Saccharomyces cerevisiae S288C: one gene and its partner. Changing the gene in region 1 together with any one later gene gives a genetic interaction. Each region holds a gene or a part of one and is shown on either strand. Other genes may lie near its edges. The genes, in order: SWT21 and PRP40.

What was found.
Region 2: mutations in SWT21 (region 1) and PRP40 impair growth when combined (synthetic growth defect), as found in Saccharomyces cerevisiae (one study listed by BioGRID).

What each region holds. Positions count from the first base shown.
Region 1 is NC_001146.8:286,439-294,640, forward strand, and holds SWT21 (Swt21p), read left to right. Parts: upstream 1-1,555; coding exon 1,556-2,629; downstream 2,630-8,202. Other genes in the region: KAR1 (Kar1p), read left to right, coding at 1-1,171; ubiquitin-specific protease UBP10, read left to right, coding at 3,060-5,438; mitochondrial 54S ribosomal protein uL11m MRPL19, read right to left, coding at 5,755-6,231; YNL184C (uncharacterized protein), read right to left, coding at 6,119-6,445; serine/threonine protein kinase NPR1, read right to left, coding at 6,699-8,202. UniProt on the Saccharomyces cerevisiae protein: Involved in mRNA splicing. Helps to stabilize the U1 snRNP-5' splice site interaction.
Region 2 is NC_001143.9:413,922-424,614, forward strand, and holds PRP40 (snoRNA-splicing protein PRP40), read left to right. Parts: upstream 1-4,388; coding exon 4,389-6,140; downstream 6,141-10,693. Other genes in the region: URB1 (Urb1p), read right to left, coding at 1-2,992; ARC19 (Arc19p), read right to left, coding at 3,587-4,102; CCE1 (cruciform cutting endonuclease), read right to left, coding at 6,234-7,295; putative ubiquitin-protein ligase UFD4, read right to left, coding at 7,503-10,693. UniProt on the Saccharomyces cerevisiae protein: Required for pre-spliceosome formation, which is the first step of pre-mRNA splicing. This protein is associated with snRNP U1. Two commitment complexes, CC1 and CC2, have been defined in yeast. CC1 is a basal complex dependent only on the 5' splice site.

The DNA of each region.
Region 1 (8,202 bases):
AATTGTTTCAAGTAATACAACGTCAATTATGACAGATGATGCATTTGATTACAATGAGGGCATTGCATCGCGTACCAAAAATATTAATTCTGATAGTGATAGAAGCAATGATACCATAAAACAAAACAACTACAATAAAAGGGAGACCGGATATAACCCTTTCTACAATGGATCAGGGATCAATCAGCGATATACACAGTTTCGAAAAAGAGAGTTTGAACCAACACTTGCAGAAAACAAAGCCGAAGAGTACATATCGGACGAAGATAATGTAAAAATTGATGAAGATAATATAGAGAACGAACTCCAGTTTACGCCGAAAATTAAAGAGGCTAGTATACTCCGATCTAGTTTACTAGGACAAAGAAATGTTTTAAATACTCGGAATCCAAAATCAAAAGAATCACACATTAAAGTAAAACCCATCATCAATAACAAGAGCTCCTCACAAAGAAAATCTAGTGCAGCACTTCGGAAACAATTAGGAAAACCCCTACCGCTGCCGTATTTGAATAGCCCTAATAGTGATAGTACACCCACATTACAGAGAAAAGAAGAAGTATTCACAGACGAAGTGCTTCAAAAAAAGAGAGAATTGATTGAGTCTAAATGGCATAGACTTCTCTTTCATGACAAAAAAATGGTGGAAAAAAAGCTAGAAAGTTTAAGAGAATACGAAAGGAAAAGAATGCCTCCACGAGGAACTGATGTTTCTAGCTCTGAGCAGGACAATTCTTTCAAAATATCGACGCCAACAAAATCGTATGTTTCTTTGGAGCAAAAACCCTTACCAAATCTCTCTGCTATGAATAACTTTAATGATGTTACCGACAATAAGGAGAAAGAAGAAACGAACAACAATATATTAAAGTTCCAAGCGCAACGAGATCCATTACAAATACTACAGTCTGAGATCGAAATGCATACTAAGAAACTTGACACGATAATAGAGTTACTAAAAGACGATACCGATTCAAAGGAAAAAAGGAAAGTAGTGACTAATGACAACGCAGCGCCTGAACAAATGGTCAACAAAGGATGGCGGAAAAACGTGATGATGATCTACAAAAAATCAGGAAATATTATGAAAAAGTATAGGGAATATTTCTTATGGACAATTTGTATTTTAATATTGTTATATTGCAATATATATGTGTATTATAGGTTTTAAACCATATAAAGGTTAGTACATGAAGAAGTGTGTACAGTTATGGCAATAACTGTTCTCTTCCGTTTTAAAGAGAGTATTATCACGGTCTGAAAATTAAGCAAAAAAAGAAAAGCGTGCACTTAAAAATCGGTGGTGGACAGACCGCATATTCCATAAACATAGATGGTACAAGGGCATTATGAGTCCTTGAATAGAAAAAATGATGAAAGAATGAATGCAATTCCGTATTGCGACACTGGCGAAGTGTTCGAGGCTGACACGATAGCGAATGTATGGAAAAGAGAAGATAAGGAATGGTTAAAAAGGACTCAAAGTGATCGAAGTGGATACGAGTATCCACGACTAGGAGAATCACCATATATCAATATGACAGACGACTTCAGAATGGAAAAGAAGGTAATATGTCAAGATATCTTTTGGTCATGTGATGGTACATCGTTTGTTTCTGTGCATAATGATTTTGGCATCAGACAATATTTAGTGCCGGAGGAAAGTAATACGGACAAGCTAAACAGAAACCTCCTTCTACCATTTACAAGGTTTTTTAGAAACCAGTCTATTGTTTCATGTGCAATAGACCCGTTTTACACGCTTTATAACGAGAATTCCGACAGGTTAGCTGGTGACAGAATCGTGGTTGGAGGAAAAAACTTCCCTCTACAACTATACTCTTTGATGGACGGGCAGTGTATCCTCAGCTATGACACGATGAACAAAATAAATGGAGAATACGAAACTGTATACAGTGTGAAAATCGATGTTGAGTCTCGTGTATACACTGGCTCATGCCGTAACAAAGTGGCGATATACGACAAGAGCAGACGAGATGCCGTGTGGATGAACCAGAGTACCAAAAAAGCAAGCAAGGGAAGACAAAGCATTATATCTTGCTTTGAAGAGCAACCAATGGGAGGGCAAGCTCTCTCAAGAGGATCTCTATTGTGTGGCAGTTATGCGAATGAAATGTTTCAGGTAGACTGCCGTCATCAACGACTAGAGAGACTGAACTACACCCGCACAGTTGCAGGTGGGATTGTACAAATCCTTACAAGCGATAACGGGCGTTACGTGTACGTTGTCAGACGCAACAGTGACGCGATTAGTATTTACGATCGGCGAAACCTGCAGCACGAGCTTAACGTATTGCGCCTACCGTTTCGGATCCACCACAACTCTGCAAAGTTGAAGGCATATATAGATACGGCTTACGGACTAAGTATGGGGACGCCGCAGGGAACAATATTGAACTGGGGTCGAGACCTTGTGGAATTTGGAGGTGTTCCCTCACACAATAGTGTTGAAGACCCACTAATCACGTCTATCCCGCCAGAGTCAGAGTGGCGCACTAACCTTGATTCTACTATTCCTGCCACGGTAGTGAAGAATTGTCCTGGGGATCCCGAACTGTTCGCCCTATCTCATGGGGGCACAATTTCATTATGCAGGTTCGGCGGCTAAAAACGGCAAACCCGTATTCGTGTATCACCCGGCCAGCTTTCTCCGATGAACGCGCACAAGTAAGAAGTTAAATTGCATCCCCCAGACACCACCTCTTTTGTTCACTTCTTGCCTCATGCCGTCAAAAAATTTTTTTCGCATCGAAAAAAATCCCCAAAAGAAAAGAAAAAAGTTCTTATTTTTATATAGTGCCACCATCGGGAAAAACTTCCCTGTAAAGCATTAACAGAGTCTTCCATCCCCGCTTCTGTCCTTTATTTGTTTCATAGAAGCTATTAAGCATCATATACTGCACACAGGAGCATGCATAGTGTCTGAAGCCTCTTTTGTTCTGTACTGCACATAATATTTCATAGAAAAACTAACGGAAAGAATCTACAACTCATAGTATCTGTAAATCCGTCCTATTGTCATATCACAATCACAGACTATGACCACTCAAGAATCGATCAAACCTTTGGTAGATAGAATCCTATCAAATCCCCTGCAGTTCAATGCTGCAATGATCTCTAACAAATCGAATAATAATGATACTTCCGCCGCGCCGGAAAATAGCTCGTATATTGTGATAGGAAAACAGCATAATAACAATAGTAATAGCACAGCTATTGCTGCAACGGCCGAATCCAAGCAAATAAAAGAAAATAACTTGATAGACAGGCCAAACGGAAAGAAAACCAACACTGTTCCTAAATCTATGGCTGAAGCTTTATTGTTGTATACTTCTAAAAATGATAAAGATGCTGCAGATGCTACTGGTGCCAAGAAGTCAGCGGAGCTTTCTACGGAGCTTTCTACGGAGCCTCCTTCCTCTTCTTCGGAAGATGACAAAGTAGGAAAAGAGGAAGAGGAAGAGGGTGAAATATTTCATGAGGCAAGAGACTATGTAGAACCCCGAAAAGCTAGTTTGAAGGAACGCGACAACGCAGATAAGGGCGATGGTGAAGACATCGGCGAAGACATCGGTGAAGACATCGGTGAAGACATCGGTGAAGACATTGGTGAAGACATTGGTGAAAACTTGGGTTCTCCATTAGCAACCATTGATGATTCATCTAATGAGAATGAAAAGGAAAAAAGAAAGGAACTGTCTACAAGCATTAGCAGTGATGACGAAATAGAAGACGACGAGGATGAGGATGACATGGATTATGATTCTAGTGCTATGGAAAAAGAGCTCCCTGAAGAAGAGGAGAACGATTCCAGCTCCAAAATTTCTGAAGGCGAAAAAAAGAGTTTATATCAAGATTTAATGGAAAATAGTACAGTGGAAGTAAATCGGTACGAACCAGTAAACAACACCAAAGAAAATGGAAACAGGAATCCAAAGGGAGAGGAGGAGGAAGAAGAGGAAGAAGAGCTGAAACATAAATCTAGGTCAATCACCCCTCCGGTTACAATATCAAATCTATCAAACTTTTACCAATTCAATGAAAATATCAATGATCGTGGTTCTTTAAACTCTACTAGAATTGTTAAAAATTGGGGCGACAAATTCACCAATTTGAAGCCTCGTGGCCTTTTGAATCATGGTGTTACTTGTTACACAAATGCTGCTGTACAGGCTATGTTACACATTCCTTCGATACAACATTATCTTTTTGATATACTAATGGGGAAATACGATAGCACCATCTCAAAAAATTCCGTTTCCTATACTTTAGCTGAAACAAGTAAAAAAATGTGGTTACCGGTCTCAAAAAACCCTAGAAAGAACGTTTCAGCTTCCTACATTAATCCAAAACATTTGATTTCCAGATTGGATGACATTAATTGTATGATGAGCGAATGGCAGCAGGAAGATTCACATGAGTACTTCATGTCTCTGATGTCAAGATTACAGGAAGATTCTGTTCCCAAGGGTCATAAACTTATAGAATCGATAATATATGACATATTCGGTGGTCTTTTAAAGCAGATCGTTACTTGCAAATCTTGTGGCAGTATATCTAAAACAGAACAACCATTTTACGATTTATCGTTGCACTTGAAAGGGAAGAAAAAACTTGATCCAAATTCTGACCTGTCGAGTGATAGCATTAACGGCACTTCAGCCACCACTTCTACCACTACCTCCAATGCTGCCACAAAACCATCTCTTTCATCCTCTTCATCTGTCAATTTAAACAATGGCTCACCATTTGCCGCTGCCAGTGATTTAAGTTCAGCCAACCGCAGATTTTCTATTGAAAAATCAATTAAAGATTTCTTCAATCCCGAATTAATCAAGGTTGACAAGGAGCAAAAGGGTTACGTTTGTGAGAAGTGTCACAAGACCACGAACGCCGTGAAGCATAGTTCAATATTAAGGGCTCCTGAAACTTTACTTGTGCATCTGAAAAAATTCAGATTCAATGGCACGTCCTCATCAAAAATGAAGCAAGCTGTTTCTTATCCTATGTTTTTAGATTTGACGGAATATTGTGAGAGTAAAGAGCTACCTGTCAAATACCAACTATTAAGCGTGGTGGTTCATGAGGGCCGCTCCCTTTCTTCAGGTCACTACATTGCCCACTGCAAGCAACCAGACGGTAGCTGGGCCACTTACGACGACGAGTATATTAATATAATATCTGAAAGGGACGTTTTAAAGGAACCCAACGCATATTATCTCCTATACACGAGGCTAACTCCAAAATCGGTTCCATTGCCATTGGCGAAATCTGCCATGGCCACTGGTAATGTTACCTCTAAATCCAAACAGGAACAGGCTGTTAACGAACCAAATAACCGCCCATTGAAGATTAATAGCAAGAAAAATAACAGAAAAAAATGGAAAAAAAATAAAAAAAGGAAGTTCACCAAATGAAAAAACTCGATATTCCTGGATTTTCCTCTTTTCATAGGCATTTTTATTAGCATTTCATTTTTATTATACCAAATCAATATATACATATAAATATCCGGTCTTTATTGACTTATAAAACAACTCTCAGTATACAGAGTTGGAGAAGCGTTTACTCAGAATAGCTTCAGTACTACCGAGCTTTGCTAACATAACGGGAGAAAGAGAATTTAAAACTTATATACATATTTACAGAATAGATCAGTAGAAAGAAGAAGGAAGGTCTGTTGAAAATTTCTCGAAATTGACGGTACTTTTTTGTCTTTTCACTACTTACAGATCAAGGTACAACCTTAATACCCATACTTTTTGCAACGCCAACTATTGATTTAACAATACCTTCCATCTCCAATAAACTATGCCTTTCATCACTCTTTTTTATCTTGGCTATTTCGTAAACGTGCTTCAGCGATAACTCTCCTAAAGCACGGGTTGGTCCCTTGGCAGGTGCACTGCCTAACATTGTCCCCACATTCGGTTGTCCATGTCCCTTGTCCATTTTAAGAGCTTTTAGCAGCAAATATCCGGTTGGTGGAGATTTCATTTCAAACGTAAATGTTCTATCAGGTTTTATTGTGATTAATACTGGAACCGGTACACCTGGCTGATAGTTTGCTGATCTTGCATTAAATTCCTTACAAAAGTCAATGGCTTTTATACCCTTGGAGCCCAATGCGGGCCCCACGGGAGGTGATGGTGCCGCTTGGCCTGCTCCTACTATTAGCTTTACTATCACGTTTTTTGCTGCCTGTGACATTATGGAGACTAATAGTTCCTCTATGGTATTCGAGAGTTCGAAAGTACAACAAACAGAAATAAATACAGAAGGTTACGCTGTCGATTTGAATGTTCACGCTTTTTTTCCTTCTTATGAGTTGTAGATTTACTGCACTTTCTAAAGCTTCTTTGCTGTGAAATTTTAGAAAAGGGAATTGTCGCCTTGGTAAGACAATTAATGTTACCCGCTTCATTATTATTAATTAGTGGCGCGATATTTTAACGAACTTTTCCATTAATTATTATCATACTAAGCTTTTACATTTTTCTGATAAAATAGTAGATTATGAACAGGAGGTCAATCTATTTAGGCTTCTATAGAACGGTAAAATATGAAATTAGTTTAACAGAAGTAAATATGACATTGTATTTTAACATATACTCAAATAGGATAAAAAAAGGTTATATACAAATGCTTGGAAAAGAAATAAAAGTGGGGACGCTTATTTATTGATTATTTTGCTTTTTCTTTTTCTTTTCTAGGCCTGCAATATGTGCTTCACTTTGATCCACTTGTGTGTGATGATGGTCTTCTCCTCTAACCACTTTGAACGATAATCCATCTTCAACCAAGTGGCACATATCAATGCTACGGATCCAAGGATCTTCCATGATTTCTTCGATATTTCCTCTGCATGCGGGCGCCAAATCAATCATACGTCCAACAATATGCTGAGTCTCTTCTGGTAATGAGTGCAACAATCTTTGTGGCCCGATATTAACATTATTAGGATCTGATACATTATTGGAAGAGCTTTCGGGTTTTTTCTTTTCTGTTGAGTGCGATTCATCGTAGGAAGGTGGATCAGGAGTTCTTGTAACCAAGCTACTTAAGGAGTCGCAATCACGTCCGGAACAAAATAGTTTGAATGAATTGTCCCTTAATTTCGGAATTTTCCATGGAAATTTCTTCAGTATCATACATGCAAAAATGATTGCAGAAGACCAAATATCTACGGGACGTGGGTCATACTTCGCAAATATACAGACTTCAGGTGCTAAATATGGATCACTTCCAACAATTCCACTTGCTTCCACAAGATTTTTTGAGAATGGATATGAAAATACCACAGCAGCACCAAAATCGATTAATTTTACAATACCTTTTTCGTTTATAACACAATTATCTAGCTTTAGATCTCTATGAGCTAAGCCGATACTATGCAAATATTGTACACCAGTAAGTATTTGTTTGAAGCAACAACAAATCTCTTCATAGGACATTTTATTACTCATTACAATAGCAAATAAATCGTATTCACAATATTCCATAACTTGGAGAATTCTATCATTTTCATACACGATTTCAATTGTTTCAATGATATTGGGATGATTCAAAGTTGTACCAATACAGTATTCTGATGTAATTTTCTTGACATAATCTCTTTTGGATTCATTTTCAAATTTAGTTCTAAACTCCTTCACTGCAAATATTTTGTTATCTGAAATTCTTTGAGCTAATTTGACAGAACCTCCTGCTCCAGCGCCTAAATCGGCACCGGTTTTGATGTACCTTTTTGAGAACGGAATTCCTGAACCGCCGTGACTATGAGAATAAATAGTATCTCCATTTCCGTTATAACTAGTGGAATATGAGTTATTCCCTGCGGCAAAATGAGACGATGAATGAGAGTGTGACGGAACGGCAATTCCGCTAGAAAGAGGTGATCCGTTCGGGATCACGTTGTTACTATTCGAGGAAAGGTTACTGTTAGAACTTTTTTTGAAGAACCTCTTTAAATCACCGATGGAAGAATGTTGTGACCTTGGAACACTTTGACTTGGAGGTAAGTGGTCATGTACAGATGAGGGGGAACCGTAAAAGTTATCAGTATAGGAACCAGTTGGCTGTCTTGATGCAGAATATATGCTGCTTTGTCTTGCGCGGATAGGCTTCGGGATAGGCGTCGAACCATTGGTAACATTGGGATTCTTAATGTTTGGAGAAGGA
Region 2 (10,693 bases), on another chromosome or scaffold:
CAACACAAACTTTGTTTTCTTCAAAAAATTTAGCCAAAGAGATGTTTACTTCCTTAATTGAAGCAGGATCTTCATTTGCAGCTTTGTTCAGTATATTCTTTACAAGGGATATTTTTATAGTTTTTCCTTCGTTGAATAATTTTTGGAGAATGTTTCTTGTGGACTCTAGTTTGGTGCTACACATGAGTAGCGAAGTTAAAGCTGAAGTACTTAAATACTCACTAACACTTGTTAAGAAAGCATTTACATCTTCTTTCTGATACAACTCATTATAGTTGGCATACTCTTCGACATTTTCACCACTAAACACGACTTTTTGAATTATTTCTCGGAATTCCACTAATTGATGGCCTGTTTCAAAGCATACTGCACCGATTAAATTGCACATGAACCTTGATTTTTTCATGAGTAGAGCATTTCTTTTTTCAATGGCCAGTTTTGGTAAAGCGAAATTTATATACCTTTCCAAAACTTTGATAATTGGGAATTCTGTGTCTGTTACCATGTAGCTAGCAATCTTGCCAGTTAACTCACAGGCAGTTGCTTCGAACCAATTGTCATATACAACAGAATCGTCTTCTACCAATAACTGAACTCTAAAAAGGATTCCTGCCGCATCTAATTTGTTCACTGGTAATCTAGAAATATTCATTAGATTTTTAGATGGAAGCGCCGAAATATACTGGAAAAAAGATGAGCTCTTCATTGAAGAAATTAAAGAATTAGAGCTATTAGTTTTCTTTATGTTTTCTTCAAATGAGTCAAGTTTCAAGTATATATTAACATCATGATCAGAGACCTCAGGAAAGACATTTTTAACAAGTTTATCTATGCCTATATGGTCTTCACCAATGAAAATCATGTTTCTAAGAAAAAGTATAAGCCATTTAATTAAAAACTCTGGGTTTCCACTCTTGTCAACGTATTTCCATTGCTCTGAAAGGCACATTATGAAGGGAGAAATGTAGTTATACTCTTTTGCCATATCGACGTACTTGTATGGTGTTTTTACGACACGAGATATAGTTTCGTCAAACCACTTCCAGACTTGTTCCATGTTGTCAATTTCAGAAACTTGAAGGGAAAGCCCTTGAAGACTATTCACTAAAGCCATCACTGGTGAAATTAAAGATATGTTGAAGATAACGTTTGTTCTCGTCAGCTCATCGAGCAAGTTGGATATTCTTGTAGTTATCACGTTAGAAGCATTTTTGGAGGATGCTAGCTTTAATAGTAGGGTGAATAAAGAATTTCCACCAGAACTTGGATTCCACCACCTGGTTTGAGTAGAGTTAAATTCTTGAAATTGTAAGTAGTTGTCCAGAATAGCAAATTCTATGCCAGAAATCTTGGATTTTTGCATGATATCTGTGTAAATATTTGATGATGGTAGGTTAATTGAGAAGAGGTTGGGGAACATTTTACTATAGTAGTTGAATATGATGGATATGGACAGAGGTAAAATTCTATTATCCTTATTGGAAGCCAAAGAATTGCTCAAAGTAGATACGAAGATTGGTAAATCAGGAATTCTAGTATGAAACTCGTTGAGTAAAATAGTTTTTTCATTTCTCCAGCCTTTTTGATCATAAAATGTGGAAACTTTTTCTAATTTTTTTAACGCTAGAACTATTGATTGACAGGCTAATTGTCTTATGATGGGTGTTTCAAATTGTAGGGATTTAACCAACGAGGATTTGGTGAGCAAAGATGGCAGAATGTTTTCTATAACTAATGAAGTGGCAGGTGGAATATTGCTATCAACTTTCTCCATAAATTGCGGTATCTTAAGATTAATAATCTTGTTAATCAGTAACGTTATACCAAACCAATACGAAGTCATCTTAGGGTCATAGTTACCATTCGTCGTTAAAAAGATGCTGTAAGGAGCAACAAGTTCGGGAACGTTCTCCAATATTTTGATCAACGTACCTAATTGCAGCGTATCTTCCCAAGGTTTGAAAAGGCGTAAAGTGTTGAACAAAAGTTTATTATGAATTTGAAATTCCACTTGGTTGACGGTTATCGGAGCTCCATGAGAAGCTCCATCAGCAACTGAATTTTTGAACCAAACGCAATTATCAGGAAATGCTACGCTAAAGTCACGGGAAGCTCCAAAAGTTAAGAAAAACTCATTTGCCTTCTTAACCAAATTCTTGTTTGATGAATAATAAAAGTGATGAATCTTTGAAGCCGCTAGTTCATTTAAAATTTTGGTTTTAGTAGTTCTCTTGAAGGATTTCTCCTTTAAAATGTCGTTTATGAATACCGATAGTATGTGCTCAGATAACTTGTCAGAATCAGCCTTATTCATGAATTTAAATAGGTTGCTCATAATCTTAAAGTTTTCTGTCAAAAGTTCTTTTCTCACGAATGGGGAAGCATTTGAGATCAATGTCAACCAAAACTTGATAAATGTAAATCTTAATGAGTCATGTTTGGATGAATCAGCAGATGAATTCCCATTGGCTAACTCAGACTTGCTTGGTACCAACAGTCTTGGTAAAATAGGTAATGAAAAATCGAAATATGAAACTAATTCCTCTATATGTTGCCCATTGTTGAAATTGACTATTTGTTTGAGTAGACGAAGAATTGGATTAGTTAATTGCGCACGCATATTGTTCAACCCTCTATAGAGAACTTTTGTGTAATCGGTCAATATCAATCTAATTAGACCGCTCCCAATAGTCACTGTACTAGTATCAGATGACAAAACTCGTAAGGTTTTAGTCAGTAATGAGGTAGTTTTCGAGAATTTCCCATGGTTATTTACTTGAGCATAATATGACCAAGTCTGTACCAATTGAGCACCAAATCCTCTTTGGAAGAACACTATTAGAGGTTGGTAATCTTTGGAGAGAGTTTCATCTTCGACTGCACTGATTATACTTTCTAGTGTTTCTAATGTACCGTCTTCGAACTCTTTCCCTTGGGTGTACTTCTCCCTTCTCTGGTCGCGAGATCCATAGGCTTCGCTATGATTACTCATTATGTAAGTGCTCCTCTAGTTCTGTTAGATGAAGTAGTACCGCATAGATTAGAGAAATAATATCCAATCAAGAATATAACCGAACTATTCTTTGCGATGAGCTTTATTGCTGAAATTTTTCATATTTCGTCTACAGTGATATAATATTGAAATCCTCATGCAAGTCGTGCATAGGTAAAAGCTGTTTACTATATGTTGGTGCACTATTATCATATAATTTTAGTTTGGTCGTATACTAGTGCGGCAGTAATAATAAATGCTTTAGAATCTTCAATCTTCATTTGTTTACGTAAAATGAAAACGTTTTGTGTTAGAATTGACAGATTGAAGTTTAATTTTAGGTGTCGGGAGAAACATTTTAATCCCTTTTTATGAATATAATTTAAGTACTAAAAAAATCACCATAATTATACAAAGTAACTGCAATTTAAAAGTACGTTTATAATTAATTCACATACACATGTTATTGTATCTAACTAAATAGTCTCGAAATAGTTCAATTGAGTACGCAAACTAACACAGTCAGTACAGATCGTAAAGTTTTCCGTCAATAGGGCCCTGACGGAGAAAGATTCCCTTTCCTATATTAGGAATCTAATAGACAAATTCATCAAGATATGCTTCCGCAACAAATCTTGCTCTGGCATTCAAAAACAGTTTAATTTCACTGATTTCCTTATCCACGTCCTCCATGAATTCAATAATAAAATCAACCAATTTCCCAGTTTTCATTGATTCAGTATGCTTATTAGTTATTAGAAAAGAAATACTGTAGCCAGGTATTGGTACACGTCTCAGAATGTAGAATGCTTCAGCACGCTGTTCCAAAAATCTAGTAAACTTGTGAACTAAAATCTGCTCAATTTCATCTGCCTGTTTCACCATTAAACTCATACGCACCGAGTTTACACTGGGCTCAATCAATACTTGTTCATTTTCATTACGAGATATATGCATCGGTTGGAGCAACAATTCGGCGCTAGTGTTAGGGACTTCAACTTCCGGTCTGTTGTGCCTCTCCACTTCCTGCGAAGAGAAATTGCTCAAAGTCAACGCAGCTTCCAGGGAATAACGAACAGCCGTTAGATACGGACGTAATGATTGTGACATTTCCTACTATCAGTTGCTTCCTCTTTTATCTTTTGTCAAAGTGACACCGAGTTGTTCCGAAAGCCTCTATTTGCTTGGCTTTACAGGCTTTTTTTGTTCTATAATTGTATTTTGCTATACAAAAGGGGCGACGTGGTAAACGATATGAAATTATCGACAATAATAATGTACTTGGAAATCTGGCAGTTGATGACATCGCAATAGCGTGCCTACCTATCAGGATAACAAGGTCTGAAGCCAGATCGACCACTAGACAAGCATTGCCGGAGGTGGGAGACGTGAAACTATGTCTATTTGGAAGGAAGCTAAAGATGCAAGTGGAAGGATATATTATTACAATACTTTGACAAAGAAATCTACGTGGGAGAAGCCCAAGGAACTAATTTCTCAGGAGGAGCTACTTCTTCGAGAAAATGGCTGGAAGGCGGCCAAGACGGCAGACGGCAAAGTATACTATTATAATCCAACAACAAGAGAAACCAGCTGGACTATTCCGGCCTTCGAGAAGAAAGTAGAACCCATCGCAGAACAAAAACATGATACAGTATCCCATGCACAGGTTAATGGAAATAGAATAGCCCTTACGGCTGGAGAAAAACAAGAGCCGGGACGAACTATAAACGAGGAGGAAAGCCAATATGCTAATAACTCTAAACTGCTTAATGTCAGGAGAAGGACTAAAGAAGAAGCAGAGAAGGAATTTATTACCATGCTGAAGGAAAATCAAGTAGACTCTACTTGGTCATTCAGTAGAATTATTTCAGAACTGGGGACCAGAGATCCAAGGTATTGGATGGTCGATGATGACCCCTTATGGAAGAAAGAAATGTTTGAGAAATATCTTTCCAATAGATCAGCCGATCAACTTCTTAAGGAACACAATGAAACAAGCAAATTCAAAGAAGCCTTTCAGAAAATGTTGCAAAACAATTCTCATATAAAATATTACACCCGTTGGCCTACCGCAAAGAGACTAATTGCCGACGAACCAATATACAAACACTCCGTGGTCAATGAAAAGACAAAGAGACAGACCTTTCAAGATTATATAGATACCCTCATCGACACTCAGAAAGAATCAAAAAAAAAATTGAAAACACAGGCCCTAAAAGAACTAAGAGAGTATTTAAACGGTATTATAACAACATCATCCTCTGAAACTTTCATAACCTGGCAGCAGCTTTTAAATCACTATGTTTTTGATAAGAGTAAGAGATATATGGCGAACCGGCACTTCAAAGTCTTAACCCACGAAGATGTTTTAAACGAGTATCTGAAAATAGTAAATACGATTGAAAACGATCTTCAAAACAAACTAAATGAGCTCCGACTGCGCAATTATACCAGAGACCGTATTGCTAGAGATAACTTTAAAAGCTTATTAAGAGAAGTGCCAATCAAAATCAAAGCAAATACTAGATGGTCAGATATTTATCCTCATATAAAGTCTGATCCGCGCTTTTTACATATGCTTGGAAGGAATGGCTCGTCCTGCCTTGATTTATTTTTAGATTTTGTTGATGAACAAAGGATGTACATCTTTGCACAAAGATCAATAGCCCAACAGACGTTGATAGATCAAAATTTTGAATGGAATGATGCCGATAGCGACGAGATCACCAAGCAAAACATAGAAAAAGTTCTGGAAAATGACCGGAAATTTGACAAGGTGGATAAAGAAGACATCAGTTTGATTGTTGATGGTTTGATAAAGCAAAGAAACGAAAAGATACAACAGAAACTCCAAAATGAGCGTAGGATATTGGAGCAAAAGAAGCACTATTTTTGGTTACTTTTGCAAAGGACATATACAAAAACCGGTAAGCCCAAGCCTAGTACGTGGGATTTAGCTTCCAAAGAGCTTGGCGAATCTCTTGAATACAAGGCACTAGGCGATGAAGATAACATAAGAAGACAAATTTTCGAGGATTTTAAGCCTGAAAGCTCTGCACCGACTGCCGAAAGCGCTACTGCAAACTTAACGTTGACCGCGTCAAAAAAGAGGCATTTAACTCCGGCTGTGGAATTGGACTATTGATTCTGACGTGTCGACCTCTATCTTGTTAATCATTATATAAATTATACATAGAGATTACATGTTATTTCAAGTTTGCGATCACCGCACAATTTCTTAGTCATTGTTGTAAGTGTTCTGCAAAAATTTCAGCTTTTGTACCTTATTTTCACAAAATTCAAACACCTGTCCGAACTGTGTTTTAACCAGTGTTTTTGAATTCAAGAGTTCAGTAATACTTTCATAATTTTTTAACCACTCCATCCAAGACAAACAATGGAGGAATGAATCTGCCAAATCGTCATCTTTTCTCACCCCCGAATTATCTTGGATCTCTAGTATATCACATAGCTTGAAACTTTTTTTTTTGGTAAGGGCATTTCTTATCCTATTATTCCAAACTCCTATGAACTCGACCAGTTTTGTAGAACTAGTTGAATTACCTTCTAGTATTGAGGTTGAAAGTATTTTTTTCACTAGCTTTATTCGAGAATCTTTGCTATGTTTGTTAGATTTTAACTTTTTTGAACTGGTCGGTGTCTCTTCTCTTGGAATGCACCAATATGAAGTCATCCGATGTGGATCGGACGAACATACCATATACCTCAACTTGGACGTATTCGGTATTTTATTCGTATACTTCATTTTATTTTCCAAGTTAGAGAAAAGAATCTGTTCGAGAATATTCACTTTTAAAATTGGGTCTAAAATATGCCTCGAAGACATAGTTCTGGTACGTTGCCTTTCAATTGTAAACATATCTGGTATCGGCATAGATTCAAATAAATACTCCGTAAGGTTAAATACAAGCTCAGAAGTTTCAGCAGGATTCAAGCTTAACTTTTTGAGGTTTTGAAAAAATTTCTCCTCTAGATTTATCTTTTGCCAGTCTAGTACTTTAGGGAGCGGATCATTATTGAGCAATTGCATCTTAGAGAAAGCAAAGTTAGAAACACCAGCATCCATAGACAATATGTTAATTCTTCCCTCTCTTATCTTTTGTTGTCGTAACTTCTCCAAAAATTCACACTGTTCTTGAATGTAGGTTCTTTTAGCTTCTTTCGTCGTGCCATTTACTGCTCCAATAACAAATGATAAAGATTTCAGTTGTGTGCTTTTTGCATTTTGGCAGCAGGAATCGATGAGTTGCAATATCTTAGCTTTCTGTGCTGTCGACATATTACTATCTTTTTTAGCTTTAGACTGTATAACCGTAAGCCTTCGTTGTATGCAATGGATAAACAAATATGGAATCGCCAGTTGAAACAAAAAAATGAGAAAAGTACGGATAATCCGAAGAAATTTAGTCTGATTCCATCCATTTTTTGTATCTTAAGAAATAATTTTGAAGTCATATAAAACTTAAATAGAAAAAGTAACTAAAATTTAGGAAAGTAGAAAAGCTCCTGCACCCTCTTCAATGGCTTGACAAAGACGAGACCGCATAATATCTTTGCTAGTATACTTCGGCAATTTCAAATAATTAGCACATGTCATTACACTTGGTAGATATTCGTCTGCTGTTAGGCCATCTTCAGCATGCTTTAACACAACTGTAAACTTTGGGTTCAAACTTTTAAATCCCCCAATTGGAAGCTTGGGAGATCCCGTTAAAAATTGCAAAAATAATCTTCTTTCATGCTTACCAAACGCGGATATTATTGATATAAAATCATGAATGATTGAAGAATCCATTGTATAGCCATGTTCAGCGTTCAAGTTTGTGTATAAAGTTGCCATAGACCAGTCTTCCTCAACTCGTCCGAAAATATCCACTAATTCATCCGGAAAAAGTATTAGCATCCTCTCATAGGAAAACACCTTTGAAAAACCTTCAATAAATGCTTTTAACTGTTTTTCAATGCCCTTACCTAATATTTGGTCGATAACGCCATGGATATATTCTTCAACATTAGAAGAGTTCAAGGATTTATTACAACCCCCCGGAATCAACTCAATGTCATCATTTCCAGGAACGGTAAATGTCAAGGACAACGATTCTAGGGTCATATTGTCATCCTTATTCGCTACTATGTATTTAAGGGATTTTGCGAGTAACGGATCTACCAATTCGATCATTAACAGACAGGTTTCAACGTCGCTCGGCACTGTCGTCACATTGGGCGTAGACATTCTGTGCAATAACTCAAAAAAGACTTTGCTAAATCTAAAGTCAAGAATTCTATTATCAAGCAACGATCTGGCAACAAATGTCCCCAAATATCCAAAAAGTTCAATAACTTTTTCATTATTGGAAAACGGGTTGAGGGGCTCTGGGAACAATAAAGTGGTAATATAATCGTCAGTAGTATCAACATCCATTTCGCTTCTGTAACTATAAGAGTTACAACGCCACATATTTAACGACTTTCTTGCAAAATACTTGGAAACTACGGAGTAAAATTCCAAAGTCGGTCCTAAACCTGTTCCTGCTTCTTCTTGATATTCAATTTCCAGTACGTCAGGGCTACTTCCGTACTTGGATAAAATCTTGAGACCGGTAGCGAATATTGTTTTTCTTGAAATCCGCAGCTTACGCCTAGTAATTCTCCCAAGTTGTTGTAAAGCTTCGTCATTCCTTAAATCTTTCGAGCCTTTACTCTTATTCTTCCAAAGTTGAATCAATCTTCCGTAACCAAATGAAGTACATTGTAGGAAAAGCATCCTGGTATCAAACGGAAACAAAAATGGGAATCTCCTGGTCAAAAATAGTGACCAATCCGGCAAAGCTCCACTTGCTACTACCAATGGTTCATCTAGTTGTCTAGCGAGCTTAGCGCTTAGTTTTGAGTTGATAAAACTGTCGCTTTTAACACCGCAGCTATGTAGAAAATCCAGCAATGTCAGAATATCCGCTGAAGATCCAGTATCAACCTGTGCGAATTCTCTTTTTTTATAAAAATCTCTTAACTTTTTCCCCTCATTAGCTTCCTCGGCTGCCTCACTCTCTCTATTGTTACCTTCTAAACTTTTGCAAAATTTGATTGTATGTGTATCATCCCATAAAGTTTTTAAGTCACGATTTCGCCTGACGAATGTATTAAATATCACACCAAATACTGTAGACTCCATGTCAACTTTTTCATTATCATAAAAAAAGTCAAAGTTCTTTTTTCTCATATGATCCAAGCAATTTTCTTCTTCTTCCCTATCAGCTTCGGTACTGGAAGATGTAAGGTTTGGGATTAATGAATTCAAAAAACGCATTCTTACCATTCTGTGTCTCAAAAACTCATTAAGTGAGGTAAAAGAAGCTATGCAATGGACCGAAACGATAGTAGATGATAAATCAGTACCAATATTATCTTTGCTTGCATCGCCATCATAAACCAACTTAATTTTTATCTCTTTAGCCAGTGAAGATACACCACCACCATCGTGTAAACCGCAATCAACTATAGAGAAATTCTCCAGCCTTGTGAGAGCAGATTGTAGGATTTCTAAAAATCTGTCAATACAATCCTCAAATACCTCTAAAAATGATTTAGCAAGAATGAAATGGGATACCGTTGAGGATGTAATTCTTTTAGTTATGGAGGAAGCTAGCCCTGTAGAAGTAAATTCGAAACCTGACACGTCGAAATCTTCATGGAAAATACATTTTTTTAAAACAGACCAAATTCCCTTCCAATCCTCTTCAGTTTTGTCCGGAGTGGAAGGATTTTCTAAAATAGAAACAACGCCTTCGATTTGATGGAGCTCCTCTGTTATTGCTTCTTGCTCAACGTTCATCTGAGAAAGTACTCTATTAACTAGGTTCACACCCTTGTTTTTAATATAAGCTAGAGATAGAGTTCTGAAAATGTGTATTGAAATTTTCTTTGGTTTTACTGAATCAGGAATTTCCATATCAGTAAATTCGTAATCATATTCTTCATCACCCTCATCACATTCCTCAATACTGCTATGCAAATCCCCTTCTTCGTCAGAAAGTGAAATATTTTCATTCCCGTCTTCCTTTAAATCAATGTTATTGAAATCCACAGACAAATCCTTAACCAAATCAAAAATGCCCTCTCTTTTGATGGAAGGAAAGAACAGTTCGGAAAACTTTTTACAAATTAAGTCAAGCAACGAGAGACCACCAACCAACAGTGTACCAGCTTCTGATGAGTAAGTACCATTAGCGTTAGACGCTGTTTCTTTTTGGGCCAGGATAGATCCGATTAACTTAATAAGTTGATCATTGATTGCCTTTGCTGTGGAATTATTTATGCATGATACAACCCTCAGTAAAGCAATAAGTACGTATCTTCTTACGTCAAAGTCAGCAGCATTTGTATAAATTTCAACGAGAATTGGAATTAGACATTGAACTAGGGAATCAAACTTTTCCTGGTTAGAAATTACGCCACGGTCGCTATTTCCGGTATATTTATCCGCTGACAGTATTCTTTCATCCTCGGGAGGAAACAATACAACTATAAATCTAGAAATGCTAATCAATAAACTGTTTGGGACATAAATCAGTGTTTCATGTAACCCTGCGTTAGGACTTTTACTATAATGCTGGAATGATCGTGTTGCCATGTCGACAATGTCAGTTTTCTCTCTCAGTTCTCTTGAAAGTACATCAC